Arabidopsis thaliana: one gene and its partner. The protein of the gene in region 1 purifies or fractionates together with the protein of each later gene. This does not show direct contact. Each region holds a gene or a part of one and is shown on either strand. Other genes may lie near its edges. The genes, in order: AGP31 and STRS2.

Evidence for each region.
Region 2: the proteins of AGP31 (region 1) and STRS2 fractionate together in Arabidopsis thaliana (co-fractionation; one large-scale study listed by BioGRID). This does not show direct contact.

The regions. Positions count from the first base shown.
Region 1 is NC_003070.9:9,889,290-9,893,217, forward strand, and holds the start of AGP31 (arabinogalactan protein 31), read right to left. Parts: upstream 1,727-3,928; 5' UTR 1,555-1,726; coding exon 786-1,554; intron 353-785; coding exon 42-352; 3' UTR 1-41. UniProt on the Arabidopsis thaliana protein: Proteoglycan that may contribute to the strengthening of cell walls.
Region 2 is NC_003076.8:2,792,730-2,796,657, reverse strand, and holds the start of STRS2 (DEA(D/H)-box RNA helicase family protein), read right to left. Parts: upstream 2,271-3,928; 5' UTR 2,119-2,270; coding exon 1,877-2,118; intron 1,783-1,876; coding exon 1,676-1,782; intron 1,553-1,675; coding exon 1,497-1,552; intron 1,400-1,496; coding exon 1,175-1,399; intron 779-1,174; coding exon 572-778; intron 498-571; coding exon 411-497; intron 322-410; coding exon 226-321; intron 152-225; coding exon 1-151. Other genes in the region: PDE340 (P-loop containing nucleoside triphosphate hydrolases superfamily protein), read right to left, coding at 2,599-2,826, 3,045-3,227, 3,312-3,527, 3,607-3,702, 3,791-3,877.

The DNA of each region.
Region 1 (3,928 bases):
CATGAAACAATCAAGATAGTAACCAGAGCATCAAATCATCTTCATTTGGGGCAAGACGGGTTAAAGGCAAATGGACCAACGTTAAAGAGACCGTATACGAGCTTGTTGACGACCACCGTAGATTTTCCCAGCTTTTTCTCAGGCTTAAGTTCAGCGCCGACATCTCCACCGAAGAGCTTTGAGACTTTGCTGCATTTGTAGTCCTTTGATTTCACCAAATACACACGACATCCTCTGAAACCGAAGTTCGTCACCGTCTTAGGAGCCAACAACAAGAAGTATCCGTTCTTGTCTGTCGTCGTCTCCGCTGTTATGTTCTTCTTGCTCTTACACACTAGTTTCACCGTAGCACCTGCACAAACCCATAAAAAAATATTAGTCCGATATGTTTATAGAATAAAAGGATATAGTTATGTGTTTTTAATTATTTTTGTGGGAAGTAGTGAAATTTATTGGCCAGACTGTAAAAAACAGTGACTGATGAGTGCAGAAGTGTACATAGTCACTCTCTTTATTTCACACCTATTTTCGAAACATTGACTACTTACGTAACAAAGGTCCCACTTGTAACGTTTTCAAATTTGAATTATTTTCTGAAATATGCGTCATGATTAAGATATGAAGTACGTATTATTTTATAGATATATACACTGTTTGAATGCGTATGCAGAGCCAAGTTGAGTTGTTTGAGAGATTGTTACTGAGGTATGTCTCATGTATGAGTGAATAAACTGAATAATGAAGTGGAAGAAATAGTAGTAATTAACAAAGAAAATAGTTCAAACCTTCGATGGGTTTAGCGCCTAAGAGTGTGTTGAAAGCAGCGTACTTGCAGCTTTTGCAGTAAACCGTACCCCGAACGGCGACTAGACTACGGTTGAACTTAGGCGGGTAAACCGGCGGTGTAACAGGTGGCTTCGTCGGAGGAGAAACCGGAGGCTTAACCGGAGCTTTGGTAGGAGGGTAAACCGGGGGCTTAACTGGAGGTTTGGCTGGTGGGGAAACTGGTGGCTTGACCGGGGGTTTAGTTGGGGGCTTAACCGGGGCTTTGGTTGGAGGGTAAACTGGTGGCTTGACTGGGGGTTTAGTTGGGGGCTTAACCGGGGCTTTGGTTGGAGGGTAAACTGGTGGCTTGACTGGGGGTTTAGTTGGGGGCTTAACTGGAGCTTTGGTTGGAGGGTAAACTGGTGGCTTAACCGGAGGTTTGGCTGGTGGGGAAACAGGTGGCTTGACCGGGGGTTTAGTTGGGGGTTTCACCGGGGCTTTGGTGGGTGGGTAAACCGGGGGCTTAACCGGAGGTTTGGCTGGTGGAGACACTGGTGCCTTAACCGGGGGTTTAACAGGAGATTTGGCCGGTGGGTGGGGGTGAGGGTGAGGGTGAGGGTGGTGGTGATGAGGAGGGTGTGGGTGGTGGTGGCCGTGGTGGTAAGGAGCAGGAGCAGGAGCTAGAGAAGGGGTTTGAGTCTTATGGTTCACTTCTTCAGTGAAGACAGAGGAAGTGAAGCACCAAAGTGCTACGAGACTCACTAATACACTCTTACCAATGAAACCCATTTTTTGTTTTGTTTTTGGGTTAGTGATATGTTTTGAGATTATGAAATGGGTGTATATATAGGTGGAAGGTTCACGCTTCGAGTGTCATGAAATTACTCCCTTTTATTTGTAAATAGTAAATCAAAATCGATCGACATGAATTACCCCATTATTAGTTACTAGTACCATTTTGTGCCCAAAAAAAAAAAAAAAAAAAAAGTCACTAGTACCATTTTGTTACTCTCTTTTTTTTGTTACTCTTTTTTTCTTCTGATAGATATTCAAGATGGAAAACTTTAGTTATCCAACAACATTAAAATGGTCATTGTTTCCTACACATCTGAAAAAATGTGATATGCAAATTTTCTACTATTACGACCAAACAAAAGTCACATCCCTGGTGAACCAATGTTAAAAAGATCTTAACCCAATTTTACCAAAAAAAAAATCTTTACCCATCTAGTAAACATTTGTCGTCTAAAATATATAAAAAAGGACTAATAAGTGTAAGATCTTTTTTTTTTATGATAATAAAATTAGATTTAATATAAGTAAGATTTAGATCGCCTATTAATTAGTTGATGTGTGTTTAGATCGTCTAAGATATGTCAAGTTGGTGTATTTTTATCAAAAAAAAAAAACAATTTGTTGAATAATATAGTCACAAAAAAAAAAAAAAGATATATAGTCACACACAATAACTTTACTATTATCACTGGTGATCCATATAAAGTGAACATTAGTAAATACTTTAACAAAAGTAAGATATTGGGATACTATAAAATTTAGGAAATTGTTTTATAGCATGAGTAATAGTAATGTTGAATTTGAATTGTCATTATAATTTGTTTTGTGAACTTTTTGTTTTGACATTATATCAAAGAAAGCAATTTTGTTTTGAAATCCAAGCTAACATGCAAAAGTTTTTGATAATTTTTATCTATGTATTTAGAAAAATCATAAGTGATGGTAATAACAGGCATTAATTTTTTTTAAAGGAATTTAGTACCATAATTCACATATGAGATAGTAAAAAACTTTGATATAGTAGTCAGGCATCTGATTCGTGATTGTATACTATCGATGTTGATTGTAATCCGAAGTTATAAATTACCAAATCTGGTTTGCATAATTGATTGAATTTTTTTTGGATTATGTCAAACAATTTTGTTTTGAAAGTAGTATGTATAACATTTTGATTGGCATTTGTGACACAGGTTAAGCTACCATTCTATAAAAGTATTTCAACAATTGTCCTACTAAACATGTAGTATTCAATTATTTTCTATATACTAAGTAGAGAGTCGAAGTGACTTTGCCATTACTTATATGAAGAGCAAACAAAACTTTCATTTGATACATTGTGATTAATGGAACCACATTTATGTAAATCTGATGTGTTTTTTTCACTATTTTCTTATAATAGATCACTGAATGAGATCTTCGGGAGACTTTGAGCGTAATTGCTGCATTGAATAGCACATGTCGCTCAATTGCTTTAGAACATTTATTTTCATAATACGATTTAATGTTTTTTTTTGCTAAAAACAAGTAACATAATACATTAAAGTTTGGTCACGTAAGTCTAATATTCTTACACAAGTCAGCTGCTGATAACATACTAAATACATAAGACAACTCTATAATACAAAAATTACTCATCTCTTAACAAGCCAAATATATTCAAATTTGAATCCATCATTATTGAGATTACTGTTCTTCAAATAGTTAAACAAATTACGCTTAGATATTTTTCCTGTTGTTTGTCTGAATGTTTTTTTTGTTTTTTTCTGTGTAAAGATTAATTTTAAAACTTCTAAATCGATTCACGAGTAGGTCTTACCCCACCATTTCTACAATGATCAGTAATATTCACGAACTGGTAACTTAAATTATTACAGTTGTGGGAGAAATGTTTTTGTCCGGAGAGAGACATGTCATGTTACATTTTCGTGTTACCTGCAAAAGTATGGAAAAAAAATGATGGACCCAATATTGGACCCACCCACCCTATCAATTTTTTATTCTTCAAATAAAACCTATCTTTGGATGCTTTGGTCTAAACGTCTCACTAGAGATATAACACAATTATGGGCCATAATTGTTTAAATGTTTAAATCCGATAACGCGATGATGTATCATTACATTTACATAGTAGACTAATCATTCTTGTCGTTGGAATGATTCTCTTTGCTTTTACGTTTTACTGAATTTAATAAAAATAATAAATACGCCCAAAAAAGTATGCATCGTGAACTTACCACATTTCCCTCCAAGAAATATGGCTACTTTCGTGGTAGTCTTTGCCCTTACATTTTTGTGTATATATAAATTTTCATTAGTCTATAATTATAGGATAATATCATTGTTGCAAATTTATTGGTGATTTGTTTCC
Region 2 (3,928 bases), on another chromosome or scaffold:
TAATACTCTTGGACTTGCGGAACTCATCAGAAACTCTGGTTCTGTAACTCTGCGGTTTTCTAGAATGGATCTCTCTGACGTTAAGGCTTAGCTTACCAAGCAGATCAGCCACCAATCTTGTAACCATAGCAGTTGTACAGAAAATAATAACCTGCAACAGCAAGGAGATCATGTTAATCCAGAATTACAGTGGTGATTAACAAAGGCATTGGAGGAACAATATACCTTATAGCCCACATTATCTGTGATGTGTTTTTTCAGAAGACCATATAGAAGCGAGAAATGTCTATCTAATGATGCAATCATGTACATTTGTGAAACCTGGGAGATAAAACAGACATGAGAAACCATTAGCATCCAATCATATGGCAGGCCATTGGTTCAAATGAACTTAAAAAGCAATCTTTTACCTTTTGATGCGTCTCCCCAGCACCCTCTTGAACACAGTTGACGAATTCATGATCCCGTTTCAGAGCAACATGGCATATTTGGCGGACCTTGATAGCAAAAAAACACAGTTCAAGATTCCAACCCAAAAGTGAAAGCCTTTGTGCAAGAAACTGACACTTACCTCATCAGATACTGTGGCGGAAAATAAAAATGTTTGTCTCTGCTTAGGAACAGCAGCAATTATCCTCTCAATTTCCCTTCGGAAACCCATGTCCAAGAGATGATCAGCTTCATCAAGCACAAGGACTTTCACACCCATCAACCTTGTTGCAAATCCAGAAGTGTTGTCGATATGGTCTTTGAGCCTTCCGGGTGTAGCCACGAGAATCTGAGAGTGTGAAAATATGTTATTATTCAAAAATATACAGAGACAAAGATCACCATCTCTGCAGCCACTTTGACTGCAGGGAAGACAAATAATGCAAAAAAATCTAAATGCATAATGAGGCTTAGATCAAAGAACATATCCTGTGACTGAAAAACAATCCTAACTTGGACAGGGAAATCCATTTCTTTTTAAAAAACAATCTATCTTAATTCATATTCTTAGAAATTCAAATCATGAGTCCATATTGTTCTAGCGAAGGATAACCAACTCAGTTTGAAAAGAAATATATGCAACTCTATTGGTCAGATAACAAGTTTCATCTGAGAAGTCCAGCTCAATGGAAATGCATGATTTGCTCAGAAATAAGTTTACATATTAATACAAATGAAAATTTACCTGGCAAGGACTCTTTTGCAAGCGCCTTTGCTCCGTAGGAAGCTTAGTGCCTCCAATCACAACTTGAACACCAATAGATGGGTGATACTTGAGCAAGATGTTTGCTTCTGCAGCAGCTTGACAAGCAAGTTCCCGAGTAGGACATACCACAAGCACAATAATTGGGGGATGCCTATTATCACGGCTTGCAGGAGGAGCTTTGATAACAGCTTCAATTGATGGAAGCTTGGAAAAAGAAACATCAACATTAATAACAAACCCCAATTAATCAAACTGATTGTAATCCTAAATGACCAACATGAACCCAAAAAGGGTATCTCACCAAAAATGCAACTGTTTTCCCAGTGCCTGTTTTGGCCTTCGCAAGGATATCTTTACCTGGAAAACCAAGGAAGAATAATTAATAGAGGAATAGTCAAGCTTCAAAATGTTTAAGTCATGACAAAACATAAGGAATCATGAAGAAAGATGCAAAAGTTTCTGCCTTTTAGGCAAGTTCACCTTGGAGAATGAGAGGAAGAGTAGCCTCCTGAACAACAGTCATTGTCTTAAATCCAGCATCCTCAATTCCTTTTAACGTTAAGGGAGACAGTGGGAACTGATCAAATCTGTAAGAACCATTTTACCATAAAGAGAAATCTGAATCAAACACCACTAAGAATAGCTCTGAAGCTATCTCCGAAAGAAACGCAAAAAATGTACCTTGTCTTTGACAAATAAGAATCTGAAGTTTTAGCAATTTGAGTCACTAGAGGCGTAGTAGAAGCTGGTTTCTTAATAAGAGGCTCATCAACATCAGATTTGCCTTCTCTTCCCCTCTTTAGACTCTTATTGTTGTCCTTGACTAGCTTTCCCGAGCCATCTTCGTCACTCGTCAACTTCTTCACAAGTTTAGCACGAATCTCTCGTCTCTTCTTACCGGATTTGGGTCCATCGGAATTCATGCCAACGAGTGGAGAAAAGACGGAAGAGAACGGTGAAGCGTATGCCTTTAACTGTAAGGCTCTGCAACTACCAAATTCCCGCCGTCGGTTATTTTAGGGTTTAAAAGGTTTTGTAGGAAACACAATTTAGGGCTTAAGGGTACAGATGCGAGTGGCCCAAAATGTCAACAAATATACAAAACGGCATGTAGTTGCTCCCTTTGCTTTGAAACGTGTTGTTTTATATCAGAAAAAAGTTTTGTTAAATCTTCAAACACGTATAATCCAACTTAATACTTTTTTTGTTTTTTTAGTGAAAATCGAAATACTCATGTTAACAAGCCATTACAAACAAAAGACCTTTATAAGAAGGCAACTTTTATAGGATTTTTTAGTTAGGAAGTCTTAAGAGTGTAGCAAGAATGACAAGAGACTACACGTCTACACTTACAAAACATTAAAGTTTTAAAACCAAAGCAGATCACTAGGAAAAAAGAAAATCTACTTGGTTCTAAGACCAGGAACGTTTTTGAGACCCATCTTGCCAAGAACATTTTTGGGGATAGCTGGTGGGCTGTCAAGTCCCATGCTGCGGCTAAACTCATTGGCCAGCTCCACCAGTCTGGTCGTGTCTCTTGCAATCATCTTCTGAGATTTGTAGTAACCCAACCACGCCTGATACGCCGCCTCCTTGTTCTTCATTTCCACTTGGCTCAGCCCTTTCTGCACCTGAATTCAACAAGTTTATTATACCCAGCAATACTCACTCATACTCACACCCTTCAAAAATCATAGCTTTTAACTTCAAAGAGTTGTGTTATGAGATTCAGGTTCAGTTTCAAGTTCCCTACTCATTCTGGATTGCCAGCAAATATGAGTTAAGAAAGGCTTGCCAAGTTCAGTAGAATCACAAATTCATGTGAGTGCGCTTATATGAAAATGCTTACCCTTTTCACAGCCTCTGGGTCTATTGGCGGTAGTGGAGACTTGGTGATGGGCAAGTCTTTAACAGATGACATAAAGTACTCTTCCCATGGTGCCAACAATAAGACTCCTTCCCCTTCCTTCCCTTTCCGCCCGGTTCTGCCAAGTCTATGTATATACTGCTCCCTGTCTGATGGCAATCCCATCTGCAAAAGCAAACAACTTCAGTTAAACAAAAGAGATAAAATTTGTAGTCGCAGAACAATTCCATGTCAGAAAACTATGGTTACCTGTACGACCAATGACACATCAGGGTAATCCACACCACGAGCAGATACATCAGATGTGACTAGGATAATAGCCTTGGACTTGCGGAACTCATCAGAAACTCTGGTTCTGTAACTCTGCGGTTTTCTAGAATGGATCTCTCTGACGTTCAGGCTTAGCTGACTAAGCAGATCAGCCACCAATCTTGTCACCATAGCAGTTGTACAGAAAATGATAACCTACAACAGCAACGAAATCGGGATAGTTCAGAAATACAGACATTGGTTATTCATAATGGCACTAGAGAGATAATGTTACCTTATAGTCCACATTATCTGCGATGTGTTCTTTAAGAAGCACATGTAGAAGCGAAAAATGTCTATCCAGTGATGCAATCATGTACATTTGTGTGACCTGGAGATAAAACAAACATAAGAAACTGATAACATCCAATCATATGGCAGGCCATTCACTCAAATTAAGCTAAAGAGAAATCTTTTACCTTTTGATGTGTCTCCCCAGAGCCCTCTTGGACACAATTGATGAACTCATGATCCCGTTTCAGAGCAACATGGCATATTTGGCGGACCTTGACACCAAAAAACACAGTTCAAGATTCCAACCCAAAAAATGAGAGCCT